Rattus norvegicus: one gene and its partners. The protein of the gene in region 2 interacts with the protein of the main gene of each other region in a pairwise test. Links are inferred from orthologs where the notes say so. Each region holds a gene or a part of one and is shown on either strand. Other genes may lie near its edges. The genes, in order: Cpne2, Uba3 and Impa2.

Region 1 (10,467 bases), on a different chromosome or scaffold from region 2:
GCCTACTCTGGGAGCAGTGACTCCGAATCCAGTTCAGACAGCGAAGGCACCATCAACGCTACAGGGAAGATCGTCTCCTCCATCTTCCGAACCAACACCTTCCTTGAGGCACCCTAGCTCCTGACAGTACCACAGGGAGCATCTCCTCAGAGGGTTGGATGCCAGTTCTGCCTCGGCATCACCGCCCTCAAAAAACTTACTCACTTGCTTCCTGTGTCCATGTGACATTTTAACCTAACTCAGAAATGTGTCACAGTCCATTTGTGGCTCACACTTGGTTTGATTTCTCTTTATACTCGAGTGCAGATGAACAAACCTGTCCCGTTGGTATGAGGAGTTGGGGTTCAGGCTGTCTCAGAAATGTCACTGACGGTAAGGACAGGCACAGCTGCTCGCAAGGACTCCGTGTGTCCTGTTGCTGTCTCGTTTATCTCCTCACCTAGCAGCACAGGAAGGGCTTCATTAGCTTCATCTTCTGTTATAGATGAATGGGCGGTCTGGTTCTGCCATGTTGTGTGTGGGCATAGAGAAAGGGGCCGACTAGCTGGTGGCATGGAGCTCTCTCCCCTGGGACTAACCCTTCCTGGGTGTTGTGGTGACTTCAGTAAAGATTGCAGGCCACACCCACAAGGCTGAGAGCCAACTACAGCCCTTGAGGTGACGCTCTTCCATGTTCTCCCCTCTCCATCCAGCCTGAGGAGGTAGGAGGGAGCTGATAATGAGGACGTGTCCATCTTCTGCCCACCTTCTCTCCCTGAGAAATTGTTTTGATTTTGTTTTTGAAATAAAAGATTTAGTTTGATTCTGAATGTTAGAAAAGCAAACTTACTGAATCATAGCCAGAAACTGTAACTGCTGATAGCTGTGTTAAAGAGATGACTAATGCCTGGCAGTTTCTGGAATCCTCAGACTGCAAACCAGTGGGACATCCTGCCTGCACGTTACGGCTGTACTCTAATCCACCAAAGCACTGCTGTTTGCACATACACTGCAGCTTTTGACCTAAGCTATTTCCAGCCAGTCTAAGGTGCTGCTCACTACCTTTCCTCTATCCAGTGTGCCTTCCCCCACTCCTACACACACACACACACACATACACACACACACACACACACACACACACACACACACACACACACACACACACACACACACACACACACCAGTTCCTGGGCTATGAGCAGCCAAAAGCAGCAGGCTCTTGCCTTTTTTTGTCTCATAGAGGGAGGGAGGGAAGGACAGAGGGAGGGCGGAAGGGAGATAAGAAGGGAATAGGTATGCAGGGCTTAGGGGTTAGGAGAAAGGTCTGTGTGTCCTGCTTCAGAATGAGCCTGAGAGGTTCTCTTCTCGCTGGTCTCAGCATCCATTGTTTTTTCCCTTCCTATGGGTGTGAGACGAGCGAGACACTGAATGTGTTGGCACTGAAATACTGGCAGGCAGAGGAAGCTCCTCAGTTTTAACGTGGGCAGAGAGGGCCCTGGATCTCATCCAGCCCTTCCTTTCCCCTTCCAGTGTATTGACACTGGTGCCTACCAGCAGATGGTGGTTTTCCTCCACCATCGTCGATGCCTGTGAGCATCCTTTGCAGAGCCTCCCAGTACTAATCTTTTCTGACTGTCAGTGCAGGCCTGTCAGCTCCCTCCTGACGAACAAGACATTTAGGTAAAACTGCAAGCACCTTCTGCCTCTTTGTATCATTGTTCCTACGACTGTGCTGTCATTCTCGAAGCTCGTTCCTGTATCCAGAGCAACCCTGAGCCATTTCAGGAGGCAGACCAAGACATCAAAGTCATCAGCATCACATAGCTTGACTTTTCAGACCAACTGGTCTACCTCATGGCCTCCTGATGTTGAAAAGAAGACGGCAGGGTTGCAGGGTTTAAAACTGTCCATTAACTTTAGTTTTTAGCCCTGTCAAGCTAGCTCTTGCCCTGTGCCACATGAGCTTACAGCCCTCTCATCACTTGAAGCTGATTGCGGAGCAGTGTGTAGCCCAAGCTGGCTTACAAATTCACCATCCTTTCACTTCAGCTTCCTGAATGCTAGGATCACTGGTGAGTGCCGCTGCACCCAACCGCGATGTCACTTTTGGTCCTTCTGGTGGCCTTTTTACCAGAGTTCATTGTGCCTCCATGGTGTAGGGGCCTGTAATCGAAGCACCACTTCCATGGCAAAGCAGGCCAACCAAGGGAAGCAGCTATGGTTTCCTCCCACAGAAGAACAGAATGAGCAGAGAGAGATAGAAGAAAATCCCACCTTGACCCTCAGAACACAGTCATTTGTGTACCTTGGCAGGTCTCTCCGGGGGAGTCAGATTAATCAGGGACCAAAAATACTTGAAGGAAAGATTCTCTCTGTACTGACCGTATATAGACTTTTCTTATTCCCTACAAATAACACTGAGTACAACAACTTGTAGCATATCACGGTCCAGACATCGTAAATTGTTGTAAGTTGAGTAAGCTAGGAATGACTGAAAGTCTAGGGAGATGCATGAGTAGGCTCTGTGCAGACAGCATTCCACAGACAGCTCTTGAGCATCTGCAGACATTGACCTCTGAGGAGGGTCTATGGACCAGTCCCACCAGACGTGCTCCTGCCTGCATTACTAGACTTGTTTCTTTGAACCTTGTACATTATCTTGGGTGGCAGAATTCCTGGGATTCTGAGACCTCTTGGGGAAAGCCCCAGCGATCTGTTGCCAGCTCTACCTGGGAGACAGTGAACTGTCTTGAGTTGTATTAGTATTGCCCATGCCCTTCCTGTCTCTTCCTGACATTTGTCTACCTGAAGCCATTCACATGGGTGGGGAGGAAAGAGACCTGAAATTCAGGTCACCTATTTCTCTATAAAAAGCTGGGAGGCTGATATGACTGGACCTAGACAGGTAGCTGACTTCCTGCCTTGCACAGAGGTCTCAGGACCCAGCAGAGAGAAAGATTCTCATGCACGAGCACCCACTACTCAGTAAGGTACCTTGTTAGAGCCCCTCCCCTCTTTTTGTTTTGTTTTGCTTCCCTTTTGGCCAGCTCCTCACTTAAGGAAAAAGCTTGGTTTGCCTGAACCAGCCCCTTGAGAACTGCATCTGTCCACCCTGCATAGATATGCCGTAGTGATCTCATGACAGCCAGACAAGGCCCTTCACCTAGGAAACACGAAAAATACCAACTTGCTATGGTCATATGTAAACCATCTAGATTAGAAGCCTCCCAGGTCTGGTCGGGTATCTAGAGTGTATTAATACGCTGCACACAGATTTGTACAGTGCTGGCATCCCCACTTGTAACTAGAACACGGACATGTTGGAAGGGTCAGATCTGGTTGTCCACTCCGCCAGCTTCTGCCTTAGCTCCAGTTAGCTAAATGTTAATTGCTTACACACTCCGGATTCTTTGGCTCAAATGTCCTTGCCGTGGGTATGTGACTCAGCTGTTATCTTAGGCCCCTCCAGGAAAGGAAGGAGAGCTCAGTGGTAGTGAACAGTTACTTGGACTCCTGGCAGCCAATGGAATACAAGTACTCGGTGCGTGATGCTCAACTGGCATCACAGTCAGCCCTAATGACTGTCAGGGGCTGGCATTGTTCCCCTACCTGCTGGGGGAGTAGTTTCAGAGGGAGTCGGAATAGCATTAACGGTCCTGGCCCCAGCAGCAGAAGAGACACAGAAAGGCCTCATGGGAGACCGGCTTCTCTTGTTTCTGTGACACCACTGAGGCCTGCTCTGTACAGATCAAGCAGCTGGGGGACATGCTGAATTGTTTTAGTGGATTTGTTTTTCATTCTGAAAAAGCACTCTGAAGCCAGCCCTTCTATACATTCTATAGAGGAACCCCAAATTCCCAGAGGCCCAGTGACTCGCCTGGGCTGCCCTGCTATATGACAGAATCAGATTTGTATTTATGCCTAAAGGCTGTCTTTCTTGCACACTCTCTCTCTCTCTCTCTCTCTCTCTCTCTCTCTCTCTCTCTCTGTGTGTGTGTGTGTGTGTGTGTGTGTGTGTGTGTGTGTGTGTGTGTGTGTGTGTGTGTGTTTGAGACTGACTCCAACACTACACAGTCACCTACCTGGATATATCCGCTAGACTCCCTTGTTGGCTAAACCGGTTAGTGGCTGGATGTGGTAACATACATCTTTAGTCTTAGCTACCAGAAGATAGAAATAGGATGATCTTTGTGAGTTCAAGGCCAGCCTGGTCTACATGGTGAGTTCTAGGGCAGCCAGAGCTATATACTGAGATCTTGTCTCAAAAAACAAAAGCATTTGGTGGCCACAGAAGTGTGCTCCTCATTTCTACCACATACACTGTGGCTCCTGAGATTGGGATCTGCCCAGTGCTGACCAACTCCAGCATCTAGGAAGGACTGCCCTGGAGGAGAAGGCAGAGAAGGCTTAGTGTCCACAGAACAGGGTAAGGTCATTAGCAGCTTGAGTGGAAAAGCCCCTCGGAGATGCTGAGGGTGGTAGGATATGCATGCACAGTGGTCCACCACACTCCCATCTGCCTTCTGTCTGTTTAGTAGGCCTGCTGTGTTTCCCTGTTTCTGCAAGATCATGGGAGGGCTGTGGAAGGTTCGATGCTGGTGCAGGGAGCTAGACACGTGGTACAAAGTAGAAATGTTCACTGTTCCAGTTGCATGTCTGCTTGTCAGAAGACTGAGAACTCCTCATCAATAGAGTACGGGTGTGGAGGAGAAGGACTGAGGAGGAGGTCTGGGGCCAGTCTCATGAAGAGGAGGTGTGTGCTAAGAGGAACATGCAGCAGGAACAGACATGACCTCGTTTAGGGTCCTGACACCGAAGACATTGCCTACTACATCCGGGGGAGAAAGTGGGCACTTCTGGATGCTGTGTCCTGCGCCAGTGTCACGGGAATCACTGCTGGCGACAGGGAATGCATGTCCCCATGAGGAAGTGATCACACTGACCCTTCAAAAAGGGGGCGGGGATGAGGGTCTTCCTAATGGTTTTCTTTTCCAAATCAGTGAGTGCCCATTGACCCTCACTAAGGAAGGAGCTTGACAGGCAACATCTGAAACTCCTTTATTACCCTGAGTTTGACAAGTAGAACATAGTCACAGTATAAAAACAGCAGACCACCATACAAAGTACACAGTAGGGATACATTCCTTCTTGCAGCTAGTTACTTAGAAAAAGCCGGTTACGATTGTAAAAATTTTATTCTCTTTGATAACAATAATTCCACTAAAATTATACAAAGTACATTCAATACTTAGAGTGGCAGGAGGGCGGGGTGAGGGAGTTGTTTTGTCCTGGAAGCATCATCATTGACTCTGACAAAGGGAGCCCATATGGGCTGGGGAAGTTGGGGTGGAGGTCCAGTTGTAAAAAATAAAAATGTGGACTGGTTTAAAAAAAAAAAAAAGGCCACCCACGAGGAAGCAGGGTGAACGTGCATGTTCCTGGGGAGGCTGGGGGCTCAGCTGGCATGCTGTGGCTGGTCCCGCGCTCAGGCAGGCTCCGAGTTGGTGGGGGGCAGGTTTTTATGCTTGAAATACTGCACTACCTGCTGAGGAAGCTCTGCAAGCACCGCTTTAGCCAGCGTTTCTTTGGCTGCCTGTGGGATGGATCCAGGTGGGGAGAAACAGGAAAGAGGAGGAGGATCAATGAGCAGGTGAGAGATTCACCATCCCAGAGCTGTGATAACAGGGCTTGAGGGCCAGGGCCCTCTGAAATGAGTGGGCCTCAGCTCAGCCCGAATGCTAATCCCACCACTAGCAGTGACTTCCTTGTCACTTCTCGGGATGGGGAAAAGACCTTAGGGGATGAATTTGGGGGGGAAGAAGTGGTGTTTTAGCTTCCTCAACCTGAGGCTTTTCCTGACCAACAGTCAGTCTGTGAGAAGCATCAGTGAATGCAGCCAGCCTCAGGAAAGTGTCAAGTCACTGTCCCATATAGCAACAGATGACCAACGAATGCCCCACATTTGTTCTAGGAAGCCAAAAAGCGGGACAAAACCATCCTAGGCAGAGACGTGGTGGGCACTGGGCCACCATTTGCCAAGGCTGGATCCCAGGATTTAAGCCTGACGAACCCATAGGCTTTAGCTGAGGGAACTGAGGCTCAGGAAACTCATAGCCTTCCTAAGGCTGGGCAATGTGTTACTGATCCCACAGGAGTCAGAACCTAGGCTGGCCTTACACAGATGCCACCCAAAAGTCCTGGATCCATCCAAGAGACAGAGCATCTCATGGTCATTCTGCTAACCCTGGCCAGCTGCTCAAAGTTCACTCAGCAAGGCCAGAGACACTTTCAGGAAGAGGCTGGCCACCACTGTATATCATATCATCCCCACATTTGGGGGAAGAAAGCCAGGCTAACAGGAGGGTTTCTCGGCTTTTGTTTTCCCATCTGCAGAGTAAGGGTAGAGGAAAGGGCAGGAAGCTTCAGTTCTCCCACCTCAGCCTGCCTCAGTGTTCTGGGTAATCTTAACCCAGGACACTACCTAGAGCCATAATCTGGATTAGCCCCCACTCCTGGGTTCCTTTGACTTGTGGAAAGAAGTGGTGACAGTGTCACAGTGGCCTTATCTTGGGCAAGGTGACAGCGCCTAACTCACCGTGGGCCCTCAGAAGCTCACAGTACAGGGGGAGGAATCTGAGAGGGACCAGTGAGCTCTGCTGGAGACCCTGCAGCCACTCTCCCCCTCCCCACCAGGGCCCACACTCACATTGCGGAACTCTCGGAAGGGCACGAACTGCACAATGTCCCGGGCTGCCTCCTCGCCTGTATGTGAGCGCAGTCTACGGTTGTCCCCATCTAGAAACTCCATGGCTGCAAAGTCAGCATTGCCCACACCCACAATGATAATGGACATGGGCAGCTTGGAGGCCTGCACTACGGCGTGCCGTGTCTCCTCCATGTCACTGATGACCCCGTCAGTGATGATGAGGAGGATGAAGTACTGCTGTAAGGGAAGAGTGAGGCAAGTGATGAGTGTGAGAGCAGCCTCGCCCCTCCCCTCCCCTCCAAATCCTCAAGGCAAACTGCCCACACCTTGGACATCTCTGACTGGCCCGTTCTGAAGCTGGGCCCCGGGCTCTGCCAGTTACTGTGAGCACAGCTTTGGCCACTAAGACTTAATCTGCCGAGTTTCTGTTTCATCACCTTTAAACTGAGAGTTACTAAGCTCAGAGCTGACGTGCCAGCCGCCTGACAAGCCCAGGCTTGCACAGCAACACAGTCTAGCCTACAGCCTCTACGGCTGGCCTACCTCCCCTGTCTTTGTGGGCAGGAATACTCGTTCACTGTTAGCTCCATACTTGGCATGGAAGGAGACACCTGCAGGGGCTAAGCTCAGGTCACGTGGTCCGTCACTTCTGAGGTGGATCCCGGTCATGGCTAGGCTGCAGGGCTGTCACACTTAGGGCAGGAGTAGGTAGGTAGTCAGTGGTCACCCTGCCTAGGAGGCAGCTTTGGTGTAGACTGGTATCAGGTCTCCAGCTTTCACTGACCCCCCTCATCAACAGAAGGTAGGAAGTTCATAGGCTGCAGATAGAGCCTAACACCACTGCCCTGTGTCTCCCTGTTACCCTCTATTTATGACAAATGACACCAAACTTTCATTAGCAAGATGCTTTTCTTTAGGAATTATTTCAGGTAAAATGCATTGAATAATGAACATGAGCTGCCTAAGGATAAAGTGCACACCGGATGACTTGATGTGGAGAAGGGAGGTGACTGACAGGAAACCGTCAGGGCAATCCAGAGGTGGCCAGCCCTTTACTTTCACCCCAGGGCTGTCCTGACCTACTGTGGCCCTGTTCAGAAGAATCCAGTGTTCTGTCCTATCCACAAGATAAACACAGGAACCTTGTGCTGATTTACCATTGGGGGTGTCCGCCTTCTAATTCTGTCCTCTGACCACTAGTTGCCAAAGGGATGTCATGAAGCTAAGGGAAGGCCACCTTTGTGACCCTGGTGGGCCTGAAGCTACCTTCTCCACGGTCAAGACTGTGCAGCTTGTGGACAATACAAACCCAGCCTCCAGAATACCCCATCCTCTTCTGTTCCAAAGTACAAGGTCAGGTCAAGATATGGTGGGCTTGTGCAAACACTGGCTTCACCCTCCACACCCCAGCTCTAATGCTGTGCCTTTAAGAGACCAATCCCCTGGCTGGGGATACTTGTTGCCATGGAGATGGAGCCTGAACCCAGCGGTAGAGAGCTGCTGCTGGCAGCCCCTAGCCCTGGTTTTACCAATCCATCCAGACCCTTCCCTAGCCAGCTTTTATCCACATTAACTCCACCCACCCGGCAGTTCGGGGCAATATTCCTGGGACTTCGGCTGGCAGAGAGAAGGGCAGGAAGAAGCCTGACACTGAGGAAAGATTTAATTGGCTGCTCAGTCAAAGGTAGCGCTTGTCTGCAAGCTCCATTCAGCTCAGACATGTGCCCCCACCTCCCTGTGGTCGTCCTTCCTTGTTGTAGCCTGCTGCCTTCCTTCCGGGGGGATGTGAATGCAGAAATACAGAGCCTGGGTCCCTGCAAGGCTGCAGGTGGAGCGGGAAGGACAAAGGGGTGCCTGAAAACAGAAGACCTTTAGCAGACAACCTAACTGCCAGTCTGGCTTAGAGGCCATCCGATGGCTCAGAGAGCTTTCACAACCTGCTAAGGTCCCGTAACAGGTAACTGGCAGGTTCTAGGTTCGTGCCCAAATCTGCCTGACTACAAAGTGCCATGCTGTCCTCTGCCACCCACTGCATGGGTGGCTGGTCGCTGTGAGCCTGGCAGGAAAAGCTCCCTTGTCACCCGTTAACCTGGAGTGAGTCTGAACGAACAGAATAGTGGTCTAGGCAAAGTCCAGAGCCCTAGCTATAGCCCTCACTCCTGGGTGCCACAGCCAGCTTGCTCAAAGCCATGGCCGTCAAAAACCAAAGCTTCGAAGATCCACCACTACACCCAGAGCCCCCAGAGCAAATCAGAAGGGCTGTGGAGGGCAAGAGCGGAGGGTGGAAAGGGACTCCGAAGCCCTGGTGTCCCTACTGTGCTGTCCCTCCGCACACACCTTCCCTACACCCTAGGTGCTCCTGACAGCCCAGCCCACATTGCAGGTCAGGGGCTTGGCTCTCCATCTAGGTCTCAGGAACCAAGTCCCAGCTTTTTCAAAGAGCAGAGCATCTCTTGCCAATTCCAGGCCTGCCTCACGGGGCTAGGACTGCACAGCTACACCTCCCACGGCACGAATGACTGGAAGAAACTGGCCTGACCCCACGGTTTAGGCAGCGTGGGGAAGCTGCACTCACCTCCGGGTAATTTCTGAAAAGCTGGCTGCTGAGGGCTGAGATGGGGCTTGCTACTTGTACTCCAGCAAGGCCACTTTCAGGTCATCAGGTCACTCAAACCTGCTTGTTACCCCACCCCTACCCCCACCTCCGGTGGCTTCCCACTACCTTCGGGAGGAAACCTAGAGTGTCTGACGGCTCTCAAGGTCCTGTGGGAGATAGTGAGCTTTCTGAGTCTCGCCAACTCCGTCACAATCTCCTTACACACGACTCTATCAGTTATACCCACACACCAAGACCCACCCCCCACTCTTAAGAATCTCTCAAGTGTAAGCCTGGATATCCCCTTCTAAGCACCACCCCTTCCTTGTGCCCACTGTCGCTTAGGTGCCACCTGTGCAATCCTGGACTGTAACCATCACAGGCAGACATTCCTGCATCGGCCTCCCAGCTAACTCCCCTAAAAGCTGAATCTCACTCATCCAAGTGTCCTTGGGGCTGCCCAGAAAGGCTCAGAAAAGGCCCGAGGAAGAAATAATGAATGGAAGGTGCTAGAGACACCACTGCCTGCTCTCTGTGTCCTGTACGTGGGTGTGTGCTCTGTGTGCATACGTGAGGGGATGTGGAAGGCAAAGCCACATTACATCCCCCAACACCAAAACATGGCCAACCAGAAGCATTGGTTAATCCCCCAATTACTTCTATCGGCTGCGGGTCTCCCTGGGCACAGCGCTACCAGATGCTAGCCTGAGAGATGTCCGTGCCTGTCCCTACAACCGACCTGTCTTACGTGCCAGGCTCTAGACTGAACAGCGCACGCGCCCATTTGGGTGACTCTCTGCAGCACTCAGAGATGGGAATGCTGTTGTACAGGGGAGAAAAACCAAAATTCAGAGTGTTAAACTACCTGTTCTAGTAACACAACCAGGGAGTGGGGGAGATGGGGCTCGAACCAGGTCCTTTCAGCTTGAGGTTGAGCCACCCCGCAGCTCCACTCGCCTCCTCTGGTGGAGAGGGTCAGGGTATGTGGTAGAAAAGTCTGTATCTACTCCTGGATCTCGGAGTGGAAGCGGTGGCCGAGACCCCAGGCTCTACTCTCACAGCTGAAGTCCAAGGCCTCGGAGGTAATAGCTTAGGCTGGGAAGCCAGAGGTGGCTTAGAGTTGCAAGTAAAACCAAATCTACCAGGGTTGATCCCAGAAGGGTCTCAAACGGTGTCTGGGCCC
Region 2 (9,242 bases):
TGACCGCTTGTATTGAGTGCACTCTGGAACTTTACCCACCACAGGTAATCAGAAAAGTTCCTACCTCTCTTTCTTAGTATCTTGGGTGGTAATTAGTGTTGGAATAACATCTGGTCAGTGTCTAGGGTTTGTAATTGAGGATAAGTGTTTAAATATATCATTTAAGGGTATAGGTTCGTATTTACCATAATGACAGCATGGGCTCAAACTAGTGGACTTCAGCCTCAAAACAAGAGCAAAATTTAAAACAAAATTTGCTTAGACGAATAAAATATGATAGTCTTCTGTGTTTGAGAGAAGATGATATATATCAGATCTGCTTTTGTGGTTTTGTATTAGTACTTTTTTTAATTGGTATTTTGCTAAGTGTGTTTTTGTTTTAATTATGTGTGTATGTGTAAGTGTGTAGGTATGTGAGTACAGTGGTCCTGGACACCAGAGGTGACAGATTCCTCTGTAGCTAGAGTAACAGGCTGGTGTGAGATGCCTGACATAGTGCTGGGAACCAAACTCAGTTCTTCTGAGAGAGAAGTGTCCGCTCTTAAACCACTGAGCTCCAGCTCCTTACTTTTTTTAATTTAAGAGAAATTACGAAGTTATATGTTGGGATAAGTTACATTCTGTCTGTTTTCTTCATATACTTTCCTTTAATTTAAACTTAAGGTGAAATGTATATACATAGGGTTCAGATATTTGTTGGACTCTTAGAGCATATCTTTCATGAGGAAGGAAGGTCTACTGAAGTTATTACAGAGACCACAACTCCTAGGCAAAAGGCTGGTTAGGTGACTTAGCCGATAAAGACGCTGAGTTAATCTTAGGACACCCATGGTGGAGCTAAAAGTCTTCTGACTGTCATATGTACACTCTAGCATGTGCTCACAGGCACATACATGCAAAGTAATTGTGATAAAGAGTTTAGGATTAAGAATGATCTTGTCAAAATGGAGCTCTATAGCATACACACTCACTTTAAAGGATGGTTGCAGTTTTGATTTGTAAACATTAGCAGCTCTATGAGTATTAACTTACAGTTGGTTGAATTCTGTGCTTTTGTGCTAGTTTGCATTATACCTTTACATTGAATACAGGTAAAACTAAATCCCTTCCATTTCAGAATTTATTTAGTACTTTTCTTTTCATTGCCAACAGAGCTCTAAAAATGTAGGACACATGTGTCTGTCTTTACAGGCAGGGCAGCCCTGAGAGACTCTGATGCCTCCTGTTAGTATACAAGTCTTCGTGCCCTATAGTGAAGAGCTGAGATGAATGCTATGAACTAAACCTGAACTAGACGTTGCATTTTTAAAATAGCTCATAATTTAAATTTTACTAAGAAAGACAAATTTTGCGCTTTTAGGTCAATTTCCCCATGTGTACCATTGCATCTATGCCCAGGCTCCCAGAGCACTGTATCGAGTATGTAAGGATGTTGCAGTGGCCTAAAGAGCAGCCTTTTGGAGGTAATTTAACAATCTAGACTTAAAAAGTATTTTATATATTACTCATTTTGAAATTACATTTAAAAATTACCTTATGTTTGTCTGCCCCACAACAGATGGGGTTCCATTAGACGGAGATGACCCTGAACATATTCAGTGGATTTTCCAAAAGTCTGTAGAGAGAGCATCACAATATAATATTAGAGGTGTTACCTACAGACTCACTCAAGGTGAGTTAGTGAACTGTCATAGTTGTGGGATTGGTAGGGAAATACTCTATGGCAGTGATTTGTTCCTAACACCATCTGTATCAGATATTTACGTTATGATTCATAACAATAGCAAAATTACAGTCAATAAAGTAGCAACAAAATAATTTTATGGTTGGGGGTCACCACAACATGAAGGACTGTATTAAATGGTTGCAGGATTAGGAAAGTTGAGAATCACTTCTCTATGGCAAGAATGCTTGATATGTAATTAAGACATCACCATCCATCTGCAGTCTAATTGAAGAACTATGGAAGCAGTGTTTTTCCAGTTATTCCAAGGTAGTAGCTAACCGTGTTCTGGAGAATACATGCTATTCAGCTAGTGGAGATTGAATGGTGCCACTGATTCATATTTTTATACAATTGTACAACTGAAAGAGCCCTTATCTTCAAAGTCTAACTTGTTCACTTCATCTTCACTGACGAGGAGTTTATCCTCTAGGAGAGCTGTTGAAAGATTGTCAAGTAGTTACTCTAGCTGTGTCTTCTTCAGTTTGAGTTTTGGCCAGTATCTTACATAATCTAATTGCTTTTTTCTTTTATTTTAAAATTTTTATGTGACTATTTTGTCTGTTTGTATATATGTGCATCTCATGCATGCATGCCTGGTGCCTGCAGAGTGTAGAAGAAGGCATGCGTCCCCTGGAACTGGAGTTATAGAAAGATCTGAGCTGCATATGGGCATTGGGAGCCGAACCCTTTTTGCATTTAATACTCTCTTCACATTCATCGCTACTCATTAAAATTTGCATATCTTTTCACAGATCTAGTGGTTAGGCCTTCCTTTCCCCGTTTCTCCCTCCCCATATCCCCTTTCTCACAAAAACAATATTCTGGAGGTTGTTTATTAAATTTTGTATTAGTCCTGGAGATCAAACCAAGGGTCTTAGCAGCCTTTTTAGATTTGTCTCAATCTGTTGTCAGATCTTCTTGAGTCTCTCAGACTTCTTTACTGTCTTCACAAAGATACCATGAAAGACCTTTCCAGATGCTCCCCCAAAGCCTGGTTGTTCTGTGTTCCCATTTTCTGGTTGCTGGGTCAGTCAGAGTCCGTGAAGGTGCCTCCTCTAGCCTGGGCTCACAGTGAACAGTCCTGCTCAGCCTGGGTGACCAGTGTTCAGTCTTGTTATAGTTCTTCTCTTTTGGAGTTTTGCCATAGTCTCTAGAAAGAGTTGTCTGTTCTTTTTTCAAATTTGTCATTTCTTTTCTGTGACTGTTTTCTTTACTCGTTCTGGTATTACCCCTTAAATTCAGTTCATGCCTACTGCCTGTTTCCTCATGTTCGTCTACTTGTGCTCCTCCTGCTGGAATGCTGGGAACACATCTGGTAGTGCTGCCTCACCTCCAGGTTCACGTGGTTTCTCTAGAGTGAGTGATTCAAGTGCAGTTGGAAGACCGAGTCTTCCTTTTTTATTATGGAAGATGGTTTGTTCATAGCTTACATGAATATGGAAGTGAAAAGTTAGAATCAGTCAAACTAGAGAGTTGTGCTTTGTCCTGTGTGGTCCTGTTGGTAGTGTAAAAGAAAGATACTTTTAAAAGGTTGTTGTATTTTTTTCTATTGTGACATTTTGTGAATGGAATGACTTGAATTAACTATATCAAGAATCATTAGGAAACTTCGTTTATACTTATTAAGACATTTCAGAGTCTAGTACTATGTATAAGACTGTGTGGGGTGGGCATGTATGGGCACAGCCCATTTCTGTACTTGCTAGGAGTAATGTTGTGGGTATCATATTTAATTTCTCAGCCTCGTCTCCTTTCTTTTTAGAACAAGGATGGTGAGACTACCATCACCATGTCAGTAACATTAAATAATATTTAGTATTCGCACTATATTTGTAGTATAAGGAAACACTATTGTTATTATGTTTTTGCTTTGTCCTTATGGAAAACTACAGAGACTTCGTTTCAGTACTGTTGCTTAATGTTTCAACACACTAAGGCTGTTAAGAATTAAAGATGATAGTTCATGTTTAAAGGTGTCTGCTTTTTTTTTTTTTGGAGATAGGGTCTTTTCGGCTTCCCACCACCATGCCTGGCTATGCCCAACTTTATCTCTTGATTTGAATGCCTGAAAAATCAGAAAATGGTATTTCATAATCGAGACTTTAAATGTCTTAATTACATGATTTTAACTTAAAGTGACTTTTCTTTTTTAAAAAACACAGAGCTAGAGAGATGGCTTAGCTGGCTTATTATTCATAACTACCTCTAACTCCAGCTTCAGGAGGCCAGGCAAGCTTCTGGATTCTGAGGACCCCTCCACTTCCATGTTCACATGTACACGTGTGCAGTACACACACACACACACACACACACATGTGTTCCCCTACACCTGATTAAAAATCTTGAAGAAAAAAAAACAATGACCATATTTTATTTGGCAAATTTTTCAGGGGTAGTAAAACGAATCATTCCCGCAGTAGCTTCTACAAATGCAGTCATTGCAGGTAAGGGAAAAAGACTTTCAGTTTTACTTTTTGCTTTGATTCTGACTTAATGTCTAAATTGACATTTCTGTAGTTACTTGCGTTCTAGGAATTTGATATCTTCTTGGGTGGGTTGCTCCTGTTTCCTCTGTATTTTTTGTTTCATTATGTCTTACAGGACCTTATGTTTCTCTTAGACAAAGTGCTCACAGTAAAGGAATGTTTTAGCATGTCTTTTTACTCATAGGGTTAGCTTTTCATTGATCTGATGAGATGAAGGAAAAGTTGTATTGTTTAGATCATATAAAACAAATACAAAACTTGTTCCTTCCTATGTTTTTAAAGTTGTGTATTTTAAAATCCATTTTCTATTCAAATTACAATTTTACCTGATTTACAACTGACTTTCAAAGTACGTAATTTTTACTGAATTCAAATGCCTTTATTTTTTTCTCTAGCTGTGTGTGCCACTGAGGTTTTCAAGATAGCTACAAGGTAATGAGTTTTATTTTTAATATGTGTAGAAATCCTCCTTATAACCTTGCTCAATTAGATAAAATGAACTTTTTTTTCATTACAGTGCGTACATTCCCCTTAATAATTACTTAGTATTCAATGATGTAGATGGACTGTACACTTACACATTTGAAGCAGAGAGAAAGGTTAGTAGCATTAAAGTAATAAAAATATTCTTCACTATACAATCTTTGCTTTTATATATTAGTTATTAGGAATTAGAAGATAATTATGCTGTGAGTTACTAAAGCTAATACATAATATGTATCTTTTGTTAGATAGCTTAGATGCTGTAAAGCATAAGAATTTAGAACAAATAATCTATTACAAAATAGGCTTTAAAGCAAAAAGTATTTTCATAGGAAACATGCATGATTGTAAAATAACTCGATTTCCATGTCTGCTTAAAAAGAGACTGAGACAGTGTGACTCTTTTACGTTTGCAGGAGAACTGCCCTGCGTGTAGCCAGCTTCCTCAAAACATCCAGTTCTCCCCATCAGCTAAACTGCAAGAGGTGTTAGACTATCTAACCAATAGTGCTTCTCTGTAAGTGCTGAGTGTTTATATTGTAAAAGTCAGTTTTAAACTTTACAGTAACAAAGCGAGAACTATTTTCTTTAAATAAGATGGTGTTTGCCACTTTATTTTAGGCAAATGAAGTCTCCAGCTATTACAGCCACATTAGAGGGGAAAAACAGGACACTTTATTTACAGGTCAGTAGTATTCATTAATGTTTTTGAAGAAAATTGTGTTTTTTTTTCTTATGTGCTATGCATTAAAATAATGTTGTTCTCCAGTCAGTAACGTCTATTGAAGAACGAACGAGACCGAATCTTTCCAAAACATTAAAAGGTATTTTAAGTAAATGTATACCCTAACATAATTTTCTTTTTTAGTAAATGTCTGCTATCTCTCCCTCCTTCCCTCCCTCCCTCCCTCCCCCCTTTGTGGGTGTGTGTGTGTGTGGTGGGGGTGGTGTCTGTCTGTGCTCAGTACCAGGGATCATAATCAGGCAACCCTTGCTGGCTGGCACGGGCCTTATCCCTGCGCTGGCTGTTTCCTCAGCCCTCAGTGTTTGGAGATAGGATGCGTTTGTGTGTCTTTAGCCTTGAACTTGCTTGTAGCCCAGTCTGGCTTTGAACTTAGGTTCACTCCTAATTAAATATGACCAAATTGTAATTATTTATATCTCTAAAAATTATAGAGTTGATGGCTCTTTTAATAGAAAAAATTAAAACTCCAAGAAATCAAATTTAAAAACGTATCTGAACTATAAAGCTATAATTTGTGTGTTTGTGTCATTTTTGTTGTTGTTGAGGTATTTATTTACCTTGGTCTAATGACAATTTTCTATTTTAGAACTGGGACTAGTTGATGGACAAGAACTGGCTGTTGCTGACGTCACCACACCACAAACTGTACTATTCAAACTTCATTTTACTTAAGGAAAATAAATCTGCACATAATAGAATTCATAGAAATAATATGCTTTATAAATGTTATGCAATTGAAGAGCCGGGAAGATGAGGCAGAGGGGAACACCCAAGAAAGGAAATTTAATTGATGTCATTTTTAGCATTAGTGTGGCTAGAATTTGACTTTTTATATATACATATATATAAAAAATGAATGACTCTTTTTTAACTTTATAAGTTTCTCTTGAAGACTGAACTTCTGGGTTGGGCTAGTAAGCATTTTCATTTTAGTAATATTGAAAACCATGCCTCCAGGAAAGATTATGAACAAATGTCCTGCTTCTTTAAAGCAGGACAAACACTGTCTTTTTGTGTGAGTTTGTTATGGTCAAACAACATATTCCTCAGCTTGCATTTGAGCATCCACCTGTATAGAAATGTATTCTTGAATGGAAATGAGGAATTATGTCTTAAGAACATTAAATATTTACAACCTGACATCTAGAGATATCAAACATAGGCAATTTCTTCATTACTACTCATATAATTGTGACTGTCCATGTGTGTATTAATTATTGCAGAGTTTAACTTGTCCATGATAATTTGTAAACAGTATTATAGAGTCATACCTGTGCATGAAAATACAAAATATTTTCATGTATTTATTTGCAATGCCACAGAGACCAGTATGCACAAATTTAAACCAAGACATGGCTGTTCAAAGAAATTAATGTTTCAACAGTTATCATTGATGCTTTTGCACTATTTATTAATAAAATTGTACATTGTCTACTTTTTATTGAAAAATTTAAAGTATATCAATAATAGTAAATAATTTTATAGTGATGTAGAAATAATTTTTAAATGTTTAATAGTTATTATTACCAGACTTTTAATTCACCTGAGTTAAATTTTTAAAAATTTACTGTAGTAATTTCCATAGTACAGACTAGGTTCATTCGTTCTCATTGGTAAATGAAATGGAGACTTAATTTTTATCGTAAAGTTTCTTTCTTAACATGCCTTTTTTTTTCTTCAAAAATGTTAAAATCAAAGTGGATCACAAATACTAAAAATATATAGTTGTAATGTTTTAATGTGGGAACAAATAGAACCTAATTTTCATTTTTAGTTGCAATTTTTTAGTGGGTGGAATCTGTCTCTGTCTTGTTTCTTTCTGGTGTGGGGATGGTGCAGGAATATAACCTGGGACCTCCCCCATGTAGTGAAATGCTCCATTACAGAGCTATACCCTAGTTTCTAGCTACCTACTGACAAATTCAGTTCATTATAAAACCACATAGGGTACAGTTCTATGCTTTACCCAAAATGCTACAGAGTTAACACAGTTTTTCTTTTTCTTTTTTTTTTTTTTCCCGGAGCTGGGGTCCGGAGCTGGGGTCCGAACCCAGGGCCTTGCGCTTGCTAGGCAAACGTTTGCTCTACCACTGAGCTAAATCCCCAACCCCAACACAGTTTTTTCTTTATGGTTCTTCTAGTATCAGATTTAGAGCCTTGTACTAGGCCAGTATTCCATTACTAAGCTGTATCTCCAATAAGGCTCTTTTTCTTCCTTTCTTTTCTTTTCTTTTCTTTCTTTTCTTTTTTTTTTTTTTTTTTTAAATAAGATAAGGTCTCATTGTGTAGTCTAAGCTGGTTTTAACTTGTGACCCTCTTCCCCTGCCTCTTTCTCTACTGGATTATAATGATATGTTGCAAAGCACCTGACCTCCCCCCACCACCCCCTTTATTTTTTTTTTAAGACAGGGTCTTACTGTGCAGCTCTAGTTGTCCTGTAACATTCTATGTAGACAAGGCTTGCCTAAAACTCAAAGAGATCTGCCTGTGTTTGCCTTCCAAGAGCTGAACCTTTTTAAAAGCGAAGGTTATTAACACTGAGTGCCTCCTTCATAAAGATGCTGTAATAATTTTAAAGGCAACAATATTTCATCATAGAGCTTGGAAAATAACTTTGAAAGGTTTATATCATCTGCCCAGTGCTGTGCATTTAGAAGTATTGGGACAGGAATTCTAACAGGCCTCAACTCGCCTTACATACTCAGCTAAACTCTTTGAAAGGAATTGGGTTATTTAGTACAATTATACAACTTGTATAATTACCAAGTATTAGTATAAACGTGCATAGATATTTTCCCATGGGTCTGAATACTTTAATGTACATGCACAATGAGTTGAAACCCTGTGCTGACAGAGTGATGTTTGAACCAGAGGCTTCTGATAGGGATAATGATACTGATAAGCAAAATTAAGGTTAAAACACAGGGCCTGCAAAAATCTACCAAGGCAGGCAAGGCCTGTGATACTCTGATCAGAGAAGTCAGAGACCAAGGACAGAGGCTTTAAAGTTACAGGACATAAGACCCTTCACCCCCTCTTCAACCCCTTCAGCTGCCATCTTTGCCACTTGTGGCAATATACTCTGTACATTTCTCTTTATGAAAGCCACCTCCTCTTGCTCCTCCTCAGCCTATGGCATAAGGCACTCTTCAGCTTGCTGTGATTCCTCCTCATCTTTTGGCTTTTCCTGCTCTCTGGCTCCTCATGTTGTGTTTGTGCTTCATAATTTGGCTTTTCTTGTTTGCCCGATTTTGCTTCACCCCCCAGGCTCAGCTTTGTCTTCGGCCTTCTTTCTTCTATGTAATTTTCTATGTCAGCCCCCACCCCCATGCTGCTTTCTTTTCAGATACACATAGGTTTTCGAAGAGCTGGGTCCTTGGTTCAACGTAAACACCCTCTAGCCACTAGCCTGTCACTAACATGCTCAAAAAAATGTAATACAATAGGATAAAGTTACTGGAAGGTCATACCTTGCCACAGTTATTTTTGTAAAAAAAAAAAAAAAAAGTCTTTTTATAGCTAGTTCCTTGCAGTGTAAAGCAGATACTCAGGGAGCAGACAGATAAGACAGAGTTCTTAGAATGAGTTGTCAGATATATGGAAAATTGTAAAGTGTGAAAATAATTGTCAAAAGGAAATTTTAGTTCAGTTATTCTTTGTCACTAGGTAACACCTTTGGAAAAAGGATTAGTGCCCTATTTAGAGGTCTAAGGGTGCCATTGCCCTCTAAAACAAAATGTACTAAGGCCGTGCCATCCCTGAACCAGAACCTTAAGCTCTCAAGGATGTAACTTTTCCTTCT
Region 3 (10,467 bases), on a different chromosome or scaffold from region 2:
GTGAACGTGATCTGCTGTGATCTGGACGAAGAGGGGCCGACATCTGGAAACTCATGGCTACCTTTACCAGGGGCCATATAAGTGCTCGCGCCAATGACAGCTATGAGAAATATGAGGGGGTGACAAGCCTGGCTTGTGGGTCAGGAACATGGCTGAGGCTCACTGTAGCAGGGTCAGGAGCAGCTTGTCCTTGCTTTGCTACAGATGCTAAGCTGGTTCTACCTCAGAAGGTCACACCACGGGCAGGGTGGAGTCATAGTAGGTGTGCCCAGGTTAAAACCTTGGCTACCACATGACTACGGGGAACCAGCCTCTACGATGGTATTGTACTGCAGCCCTTATTCAGTATAACACCTCCGGCAGAATCTTCCATATTCCAGAGCCCCTTGCCCCTTTCTATACAAGCAAACTCATGTTTTACACTGCAATGAACTATGGTGAATCCCGTACACAACGATATGGAGGGCAAACAAAACAGGCAGAGTAACATGTCGACAGTCAGTGGGCACTTGAAGACCTGCCCATGGGACAGAAAAAGCATGAAAAACAGCAAGACTCAAAACTAGAGGGCGCAGAGCTTAGGAAACAAACCTGAAAATATTTCAGATAGTAAATAAAGAGAACATGAACTAGGGGCTGAGGGGAGGATGGCTCAGCGGTTATACTTCCTGCTCTTCCCGGGCTATGGTTGGTTTCCAGTACCCACAATGGATAGCTCATAACTCCAGCCTCTGGGGACTAGATGCCCTCTTCTGGACTCTGAGGGCATCTGCCTGTTACGGATTTAAGTAAAGGACACCAATTTCCAATTATAGATGTCCCAAAAGACAGAACACGAAGCAATGAGCTAGGGAAAAAAAATACTGTGGATTATAATTAAAAAATAATTTTTTGAAGTGAGAAAAGATAGGAAATGTTCAAAGAACTATGCCCCCAGAACTGGCTCGGTTCTGGAGTCTGGATACAAAAACAAACAAAAAACACTCCACAAAACAAGAAAACAAAACCCCAAATCCCTAAAACAAAACACTACAAGGTCCATGTGTGTCCAGAAGAAAAAGAAAATCCCTTACATGTGGAAGAAAACCAAAAAAAAAAAAAAAGAAAACCAACCCATCTCAGGTATGGCTGCCCTTTTGTAATCTCAGTTCTCAGAAGGTGAGGCAGGAAGATTGGGGTTTTAAGGCCAGAACGGGTTACACAGTGAGATCCAGTCGTAAAAAGAAAATCCATCTTTTGAACAGTTTACTGTTCACCAACTCTGCCAGCACATGGCAGGGACATTTTAGAGATTCTACACAAGAAGAGGTGACAAGTAGCAAGAACAATGATAATCTGTAGAGAACACAGGAATCGGGGCACGGTTCCCATGATTCTGCCCTGAGATGTCAACTAGGATTCTACTCTCATCACAAGTGCGACCCTCGACCTTCATTGCTTCCCCTGGGCAGCTCTATTAGGAGCACTTCCCCCATTAAATCAAGATACAATGTATCAATCCTCACTGCCCTGCACATCCAGAAAACAACAGTAACAATGGGAGGTGGTGGTGTCTCCAGCAAGGTAACCGGTGATGTCACCATCCCAGCTGGCGCTAATAGGCAGGAAGTTCCTATGTAAGTCACTGGCAGCAGATGTCCTTCCCAATTAGGAAGCTATGAACATCATCAAATGCATTAATCTTGAATTTGTGTGTGTGTGTGTGTGTGTGTGTGTGTGTGTGTGTGTGTGTATTTTTTTCTTTGGAAATAACCTTTACAGTAAGGAAACAGGTAGCCAAAGGATTTTGATAAACTAAGATTGTTAGGCCTTGAGTGTTTGGAAGTGAGAAAGAAAAAGTGAGCCTGCCACTTCTGTTACCAGTGCCACCAGACATAAACTCAAGTGGGGCTTACAACCTGAGAGAACTTGTGTCAGGGGAGGCAGTGCATGCCTGTGACCCGACACGGAAGAGGCAGAGAGAGAGGACGCTACCAGCTCAGGGTTGGCCTGGTCTATCAGTGAGAGCCCATTTCAAAAATTAAGAGAACTTTGGAAAACTTGTATGTTTTCCAACAGTTAAAGACTCGAGGTCTCCTGCTTCCACCCACCATGTGCTGGGATTATAAGCACACAGCACCACACCCCTGCCACCTATACAATCAGAGCACACTTTCTTTTCTTTTTTTTTTTTAAAGACAGGGTTTCTTTGCATAGCAGAACCCCGACTGTCCTGCCTTCACTTTGTAGACCAGACTGACCTTGAATTCACAGAAAGCGCCCTCTTCTGCCTCCCAAGTGCTGGGATTAGAGGCGTGCAACACTCCCAGCTGATTGTTTTTTGAGACATTGTCTCTCTAGTATACAGCTCTGGCAGTCCTGGGGTTCACCATGCAGATTGGGATGGCTTTGAACTCACAGAGATCACCTGCCTCTGTCTCCCAAGTACTGGATTATAGTCCTACAAGACCACGTCCCACCTTTGTAACTAATTATTTTCCACCAGATGCTGCCTGCTCTATGTACAGCCTCAGGCATCAGAGTGGGGACCTGAAGCCAGTGCGAGCACTCTGACATCTGTGACCAGAGGTGAGAACAGCTCACCACCCGGACTCCAAGTCACAACCGTGCTTTGGTGAGGTAAGGACATAGCGTGGCAGTGCGAGGAGGCAGAAGGGAGGCAGGTAACCAGTAGGGGCAGGAGCTTTAGAGACAGCAAGCAGCTTCTTTCTGCTCTGGGTGTTTCCTGGGGCCCAGCAGAGGGAAGTCAGGCCAAGTCTCGCCCTTCTGGGGTTAGGAGCAAGCACAGCAAAGGTGGGTGGAGCCATCAGAGCGAGCCGTCACCACCTGACTGAGCTGTGAAGGCAGTCAACCAGGAAGCGGGCGTGTGAATAGTTTAGTGTCCTATCAAATGAAAACTGGAGCAAAGTTCACCCAGGCATGTTTAATGGCTGGCTTCCTCCCTGCCTTTCCCAGCTAGGCTTGGATGGATGCCTTTTGCCAGCATGGCTGGAATTAACATCACTCCACAGCCAAACTAAACACTCTGGCAGAAGGAGAAATGGGGCAAGGTGCTTTTCCTGGCCCGCTCCGGGCTCAGAGCGCTGGTTTGCCAATCGTCCTGCTGGGGTATCTCACAGGGCTCCTGTGAGTTCTAGCCCCCCGATCTGGGTCCATGCGGGACTCTCACCAGCAACCTCTCCTCCCCACGGGCCTATGAGCACATCCACACTGTGCCTTCACACAGTAAGCTAGATGCTCACAGGCTGGCTCAGCATGCCAGTGTTAACCAGGAAGCTACCCAGGAGGGAGATGAGAGGAAGGAACTGTGAAAAGATAAACCAACAACAGGCACAGAGAAATGGCTGGTAAAGAAAGTAGACGGGCTGAGAGTCAAGTGCTGACATCTTGGGACTGAGGCCAGTGTCAGCCAACAGAAAGCAGGGACTGAGGCTGGGACACGTTATGATATGCGGCCTCTGACACGTAAAGAGCAGAGGCTGCAATTGCCGTCCGTGTCCTGCTCAGAGTTGCAGAAGGAACTAGGGGATGCTAGGGGAGCCACTCCACGGCCAGCTTCGCTCCCATCCTCACTGCCTTTCCAAACTCAATTACGTGGCCACTCAGGGGCTTTGAAAGTCTTCCTCTTCCACGGCTGGCTGCTCTTCTAGGATCCCTTTTCTTCCCTGACTCTGTTCACTACCATGTCTCCACCTTGGCCAACATACACAAAAAACCCTGGCTTTATCTGTTGCCTACCACACCTATCCTATACCCGATAAAAAAACAAACAAACCAAAAACAAACTACTAGTTTAATCATTGTGGGTTAAAGGGTGGAGGAGAGAGAACACCCTCGGTGTGCCATTCCATGGGCTACCTCCTGCAAGCAAACAATGTCCTTAGACCTCTACATTTAAGGAAAACAAAGGACAGACATAATCCTGGTGGCAGGCCCCGGGGCACGTTCAAACACTGTTCCTCTCCACCGTGCTTCCGCTTCCAACAGCAAGGTCAGAGACCAGATACATGCTGTGGTCATGGGTCCCCCACCAAGTTGTGCCTGGATGCTCTGCGGGCCCTTGGTCTAAGCCGCTCTCTTGGTCCCACCAGACCAAACTGTTCACCAGTAACTACCATTTTAAAGACAATAGATACAAGAGGCTCTGATAATGTATTCAAAGTATTGAGCACCTACACAGAATAAATGTTGTCGATTTCCACTAGGGACACTGTATTCCTAAAAAAGAGCTAGCACTCTCTGTAGAAGATGGCCACCAGGGCTGGAGAGATGGCTCAGCGGTTAAGAGCACCTGACTGCTCTTCCAGAGGTCATGAGTTCAATTCCCAGCAACCACATGGTGGCTCATAGCCATCTGTAAAGAGATCCGATGCCCTCTTCTGGTGTGTGTGAAGACAGCTACAGTGTACTTATATATAATAAATGAATAAATCTTTAAAAAATAAAATAAAATAAAATTAAAAAAAAAAAGAAGAAGAAGATGGCCACCACTATGTGTAATAGTCCCTGGGCATCTAGCTCTATCTGAAACGACCCAAAAAGAGCTGGATGAAGCTCACCTGTCTCCCTGGAGACCTGGAGCCTCTGGCCATTGCAAAAGGCGCCCTGGCCCCTCCTGCCGGTGTACAGCCGCTCCTCTGTGCAGTGGTGAATCACTCCGAATTCCAGCTAGAGGGGGCAGGAAGAAAGTGGACAACGTCACTTCTTGACACAAAGGCAACAGTGATCTAAAGAGGGACACTCCTCTTAGAGCAGGAACTAGCACTGTGACAAGGGGACAGAATTGTCTTCCAAAGAGGAATGGAGACAGGCAGACTTCGAACTACTTCTGGTCATGAAAGCGAGCTGTTTCATAAACGAACATATCAAAACTATATTAATACTAATAAGAGTATTAAAATTATCGTAATGAACTCTCTCCCCTCTCCACCCATAATTGTGACTGAATAAAAAAAAAAAAAAAAACAACTCTTAGGTATCCTCCACGTTACTGGTAAGTAAAGAACCCACAGACATCCCCAGGGGCATGACCACTGGCTAGCAGGAGGAAGAGGTCAATATGGAAGCGATAAGCCTTGTGTCCAGCACTCCTGTCTCTCTCTGCCTGCTTCTCACAACCCTGGGGTGAATATGTGTCTGTGCTTGGTACCATATGCCCATCTTCAGGGTGGTCATCTTCAGTGCCTTAGCAGAGTCTTAGGCAGCCCTTAGAATCTTCGCCACTCAGCCTATAGAACAAGTTGTATTTCTGGAAGGGGCTTCCCGACAGTCCGTGGTTCTCTAGCAATACTTACCTGCCCTACACCTACCCCCACCCCTGGCCCCAACATGATATCCAGATCTAGGCGTCACCGTATTGTGTGGTCACCTGTGATGAGGCCCCATTATCAAGGGGAATGTCCAGTGAGCTGTGGGGAAGGGAGAGTTGATTCCTGGATTGGACCATGACTGATTAGAAGTATTCCTGTGCTCTGGAACTAGAAACGCAGGACAGAATAGGACGGCCCAGCCAGGACAAGGACCTGTCTGAGCTTTGTGGCCCCAGTTTTCTTTCCTGGCAGCCCTGACTCCTATTATAATAACCTGGTGGTTAGGAGAGCATTAATGTTAACAGATCTCTGTGATGATGCAAAGAAACCGATGGATCATCAATTCCTTACCCAACTGGCAATATTGAAAAGTTTTACCAATATACCAAAAGTATATACCCTGAGGTATAATGCAAACTTACTGTCCCCATGAGAGGAACATTCGTCGATATTGCTACACTGCTCTGAATGGGGGCAGTTGTAGGAGACATTGTACCCCAACTCTGCTCATATGACTACAAGAAATGAAGGCTCTTGTCTTCCTGCATAAGCCTTCGCCCTCTGTCTGCCTTTCTTTTAGGTCTCACGCCATGGCTTAGTCCAGAAAGTCCCTGGGAATCCTGATAGGGCCACATTCTCATACTAATAGCCAGGAGGAAAAGAAGAATTAATGAAATATTGAGATGTCATCCAAAAATAGGAGTTGTCTTTTGTCTGTGACTAGATCACACGCTCTAGGGGTCAGATGGAGACTCATCGGGCCATCTGCTCAGAACATTGCTTTCCACAGCAGCTATGACTGGACCACGGAAGAAGAAAAAAAAAAAAAAAAAGAGCCAGTCCACCCCAGGAGACATAAGACCCAAACCCACACCCCGACACACTAGTCACGGTTACGGTAAGTGTCAAAGAGCAACACAGAAACTGAAACCAGGCAAGGAGGGCCGCATTACCTCCTGGTGAACAGCAAATCCGATGCTAACTGCCACAGTGGGGAATCTGTGAGGGAAGGCAGAATGGGTTACATAGAACACTGGCTCTCAAAAGCTCTTGTGTGTAGCTGTGTGAAGGCTTCCCTCCCGCCCCACAAGGACCTTTCGGCACTCTGGCTAGGTTTGATTTTCAAAATGACTTTCCAGTTTCACTTACTGCTTCCAAAATAAACAGGCTCAGCTCGCCATGCTGTAAAATAGCGAACTTAAAGCAACCGTAGCGCTCTGGGAGCCGTGGTAAGACTGAGGCAACTTAACAGCGACCACATAATACTAATCAACATGACTATAATAACCACAGTCCTGGTTCTCAGCAACCTAAGCAGGTAGAGAATTCGCAAAAGACCAACCCCAAATTCAGAATGTATGTGGAGGGCCCAGTAGATGATATCACAGACCCTGGACTGCAGCCACCACACAGATGTGACCTTTCGACAATGCCAATAATATCCCCATCCCGTCTCCGGTTTGAGCTCCCAGAAGGCAACAGCAGGGTGAGCCAGCGGTAGAGGGATGGTTCTGATGCCACAGCTTGACCATGGTTTTAGTTTCGCCAGTTTGTTGCTGTGTTTCAAAATAGTCTCTCCTTTGTGAGACTTAAAAAACAGGAAGGGGCCAGGAAAGACCAAGTACTGTGAACTGGCTGGGGAAAATACCAACCCAGACCACGAGTGGGCAGAACCCTGTGCAGAAACCCTCAAAGGCCGGGCCGAGTCTCCCTGCGCGCGTCCTAAGGCAGGCATCTCTCAGCTTTTCCTCAGCCTCATTGGCTGTGGCCCAGCACCGCAGCCTTTCTAATGGCTCAGGTCTCAGGCCCAGCTGTGGCCTGGATATACTGGAACTGTCAGGTCAATATTAGAGCCTGTTTCTCAGAGGACATTCTTTCCAGCCCGGATTTCCCTGAGGGCTGCAGATCAGGAAGTACTGTAGATCCCAAGGACACCAGAGCCCTGGGACACCTTAGCACGAACCATCGTGGCCTTTAGCTGGAATGTGGTGTAGCCGCTGCATCCCCGTTATGACCACCTTGGGTGACAAACGGTTCAGAGGTGAAAGGCGCCTCACTTAGCGAAGCGTGAAGTGACGGCCTGGTGGCAGCAGATGGCACTGCTCCGAAGCATCAAAAGGGTCCCCTTGTTCATGCACGACTGGGTTCTCAAGGCAACGGGCACTACAGTGGTCATGCTTACCGTGTGCTACTCAGCAGATAAGCACAGCACGGAGGCCAGAGAGCTAGGCGCCCCACACCCAGCTCTGCTCACGTTACTTCCTCAACGTGCCCTATAGTAACTTTTGAGTATGAGTGGGGAAGTGCTCGCAGCATAGAAATATCTGCAGAGAACAGCAAGCTAACACCCCCCCCCCGCCCCCAGGGAAGCCATGATGCCTATTGTGTGGCTGGGTCTTTGGCTCCTTTTACGTGCCTTTCAGCAAGTATACATAGCTCTCATACCTGTCACCGTTAGGGACTGGTAGGCCTTCAGGCTTACTCCTGTAAGCCCTATCTGCAGCCACAAGGTTGGCTCCTGAGAGAATGACTTCTCAAATCTCACTGGCATGTCTTGGTTCTGTACCTGAGGCCCAGGATTCCTGCTCCAACTCTACCTGTTTTCTAGGGGCAACTTCTTAAAGGAGCCGCAACACAATGGAATTCAGTGTCTTACAGCTGTAAACAGTCTCCCAAATGAGCTTCATTCTTAGGCAATTATGTTTCCAGTTTTTAAAGTATAGTAAAATATTTAAGTATAGGGAAAATTGATCTCAAACTTGTGATCCTATCTTGGCCTTTGTGCTATAGGTCAGGAGTAACCAAAAACACTTAAAGAAATAAAGAATCCCCCAAAACATAGCTCAAGCTGGCCTTGAACTTCTGACTTTCTTATCTCCACCTCTCAAATGCTGGGATTACAGGTGCTCGCCACCATAAGTAGTCACCCCCTACAACACACACACATAACACACACACACACACACACACACACACACACAGTACACATACACACACGCACACATGTACACATACACACACACACACACGCACACACATGCACACACATACACACACACACATGCACACACATACACGAACACACACAAGGTCTTACTGTATGGACCTAGCTGACTTGGAACTCAGAAATCTACCTACCTCTGTTTCCCAAATACTAAAATTAAAAGCCACGTGCCAACATGCCTTGCCAAAAATTTTTCTAAGACAGATTTTCCTTACATATTCTTTAGAGTCATAAATAGAAAACCTTTTAAAAATATCAAGTTCTGATTTCCTCTTAACAAGACTAGAAATTTCAATATTTTACAATATTTTACATTACGTAAGTATTTTAGATGCTTATGCTATTGTAAAGAAAACCTAGGGGTCCCACAGAGCCCCGTAACTTCATGTTTCCCAGCTCCTGCTTACCTGTGCACAAAGTTGCAGGTGCCGTCGATGGGGTCGATGATCCAGGTCGGGCTGTGGGTGAGCACACACTTGGCCCCGGAGGCTGTGGCCTCTTCTGCAATGAACCTGCTGGGGCAGGGGGCTCAGCCTGAGTCAAGTCCAACACTCAGCAGACGAGCGTATGTAGCAGGCACAAGGCTCTGGGTTCCAGCCCCAGTACCAAAACACCCCCCACACCAGACTGACTCTCACAGCTGCAGTTTTGGAGGCACACAGGGGAAATGGAGCAGGCCAGGCAGAGATGCGGGAGTGCAGAGCACCTGAAAGAGCACAGAGGCAAGCAAAACTTGGTTCCCAGTTCAGCATGGAGCTACAGATGGAGGGGAGGCAGCAGAGGCCCAAGAGGTCTTGCTAGTGTGCAGAGCAGAACCTGGACCGTAGAAGGGAAACGGTCACCTACATCTCCCTTCCCCACTTGGACCCTTTACTCTTCCCTCCTTGGTCTCTGCTCCCCTTTGGGAGAAAATAAGAGCTGGACAAGGGAGCAGTAGAGTTAGCAGGATGCTTCATGCCCCCCTTGTCCTCAGTGTCAAAGCAGACCCTGTCCTCATAGTGTCACCTTGACATGCTCCTTCAGGGCCACTCTGGCTGTCTCCAGATCAGAGGTTCTTGATAAGGGGGCTCTGGGCTGGCCCCTCCTTTGTTATAAGGCCCTATGTAAATAAGGCTCCCTTAACTTTCCTCAGGAGTGTGATCTCTATCCTACTAGGAGACAAAACCTTAAGCTGAATATTTGCAGGTGTCTTAGTTAGGATTCTTGTTGCCGTGACCAAGGCTACTCTTGTGAAGAACAACATTTAATTGGAGCTGGCTTACAGTTTCAGTGGTTCAGTCCATTATCATCATGGTGGCAACCAGGCAGACATGGTACTGGAGGAGGAGCTGAGAGGTCTACACCTTGACCTGAAGGAGCCAGGAGGAGGCTTTCTCGTCAGCACTGGGTGGAGCTTGAGCACTAGGAGCCTGCAAAGAGCCCGCCTACACAGTGATAGGCTTTTTCCAGCAAGGCCGCACCTCCTAATAGTGCCACTTCCCATGGGCCAAGCGTATTCAAACCACCACAGAAGGGGATGTCATTAGTACAAATGGGGCCAACAAGCACCAGCTGCCCAGGCCAAAGGTAGGGAAGCTCCTTCTACTTCTTTTCTACCCACATGTAGGCTCAGAGAGAAGGGGCCCTCTTAGGTGACACTAAATGTGACAAATGCTTGGCCATAGGACAAAGACTTAAGAGTCATACCATTCCCAGAACTGTCTTCTGAAGGTACTTGATATTCCTAAAGTGTCCTAGAGTCACTTTTTAAAAAAATTTTTTTCAACGAAAACAAACCATACTCTATTTTTTTAAAGACTTATTTATTTTATATGTACTGGTGTTTTGCCTACATATATATCTATGTGAGGGTGTTGGGTCCCCTGGAACTAGAGTTACAGACAGTTGTGAGCTGCCATGTGGGTTCTGGGAATTGAACCTAGGTCTTCTGGAAGAGCAGCCAATGCTGTTGTTCTTAGCCAATGAATCATCTTTCTAGGCCCCTCAAAACACACTGAACTCTTAAAAACACAAGGAATGGGTGCCAAAGCACCCTTGAATGGAGGACCAGGCAGATAAAAATGGTGAAAAGACACACCTCAAGTCAAGAGGTAACAAGTTCCCCATGTGACTTCGACCATTGGCTGCTTCTGAGACTTTCTTCTCTTCTGGCAC

Evidence for each region.
Region 1: the proteins of Uba3 (region 2) and Cpne2 interact in binary tests that used the Homo sapiens proteins (3 or more experiments, as listed by UniProt). The two-hybrid records come from large-scale screens. The link is inferred for Rattus norvegicus from reciprocal best matches to the Homo sapiens genes UBA3 and CPNE2.
Region 3: the proteins of Uba3 (region 2) and Impa2 interact in binary tests that used the Homo sapiens proteins (3 or more experiments, as listed by UniProt). The two-hybrid records come from large-scale screens. The link is inferred for Rattus norvegicus from reciprocal best matches to the Homo sapiens genes UBA3 and IMPA2.

Annotation. Positions count from the first base shown.
Region 1 is NC_086037.1:10,435,221-10,445,687, forward strand, and holds the end of Cpne2 (copine-2), read right to left. Parts: exon of another isoform or gene 7,015-10,467; intron 6,926-7,014; coding exon 6,689-6,925; intron 5,576-6,688; coding exon 5,468-5,575; 3' UTR 5,025-5,467; downstream 1-5,024. Other genes in the region: Psme3ip1 (PSME3-interacting protein), read left to right, coding at 1-117.
Region 2 is NC_086022.1:131,343,866-131,353,107, reverse strand, and holds the end of Uba3 (NEDD8-activating enzyme E1 catalytic subunit), read left to right. Parts: coding exon 1-44; intron 45-1,360; coding exon 1,361-1,463; intron 1,464-1,558; coding exon 1,559-1,672; intron 1,673-4,116; coding exon 4,117-4,170; intron 4,171-4,607; coding exon 4,608-4,644; intron 4,645-4,729; coding exon 4,730-4,811; intron 4,812-5,111; coding exon 5,112-5,212; intron 5,213-5,316; coding exon 5,317-5,380; intron 5,381-5,464; coding exon 5,465-5,519; intron 5,520-6,026; coding exon 6,027-6,112; 3' UTR 6,113-6,889; downstream 6,890-9,242. UniProt on the Homo sapiens protein: Catalytic subunit of the dimeric UBA3-NAE1 E1 enzyme. E1 activates NEDD8 by first adenylating its C-terminal glycine residue with ATP, thereafter linking this residue to the side chain of the catalytic cysteine, yielding a NEDD8-UBA3 thioester and free AMP.
Region 3 is NC_086036.1:63,121,364-63,131,830, reverse strand, and holds part of Impa2 (inositol monophosphatase 2), read right to left. Parts: intron 8,826-10,467; coding exon 8,721-8,825; intron 6,309-8,720; coding exon 6,263-6,308; intron 4,669-6,262; coding exon 4,560-4,668; intron 1-4,559. UniProt on the Homo sapiens protein: Phosphatase that can use myo-inositol monophosphates, myo-inositol 1,4-diphosphate, scyllo-inositol-1,4-diphosphate, glucose-1-phosphate, beta-glycerophosphate and 2'-AMP as substrates in vitro.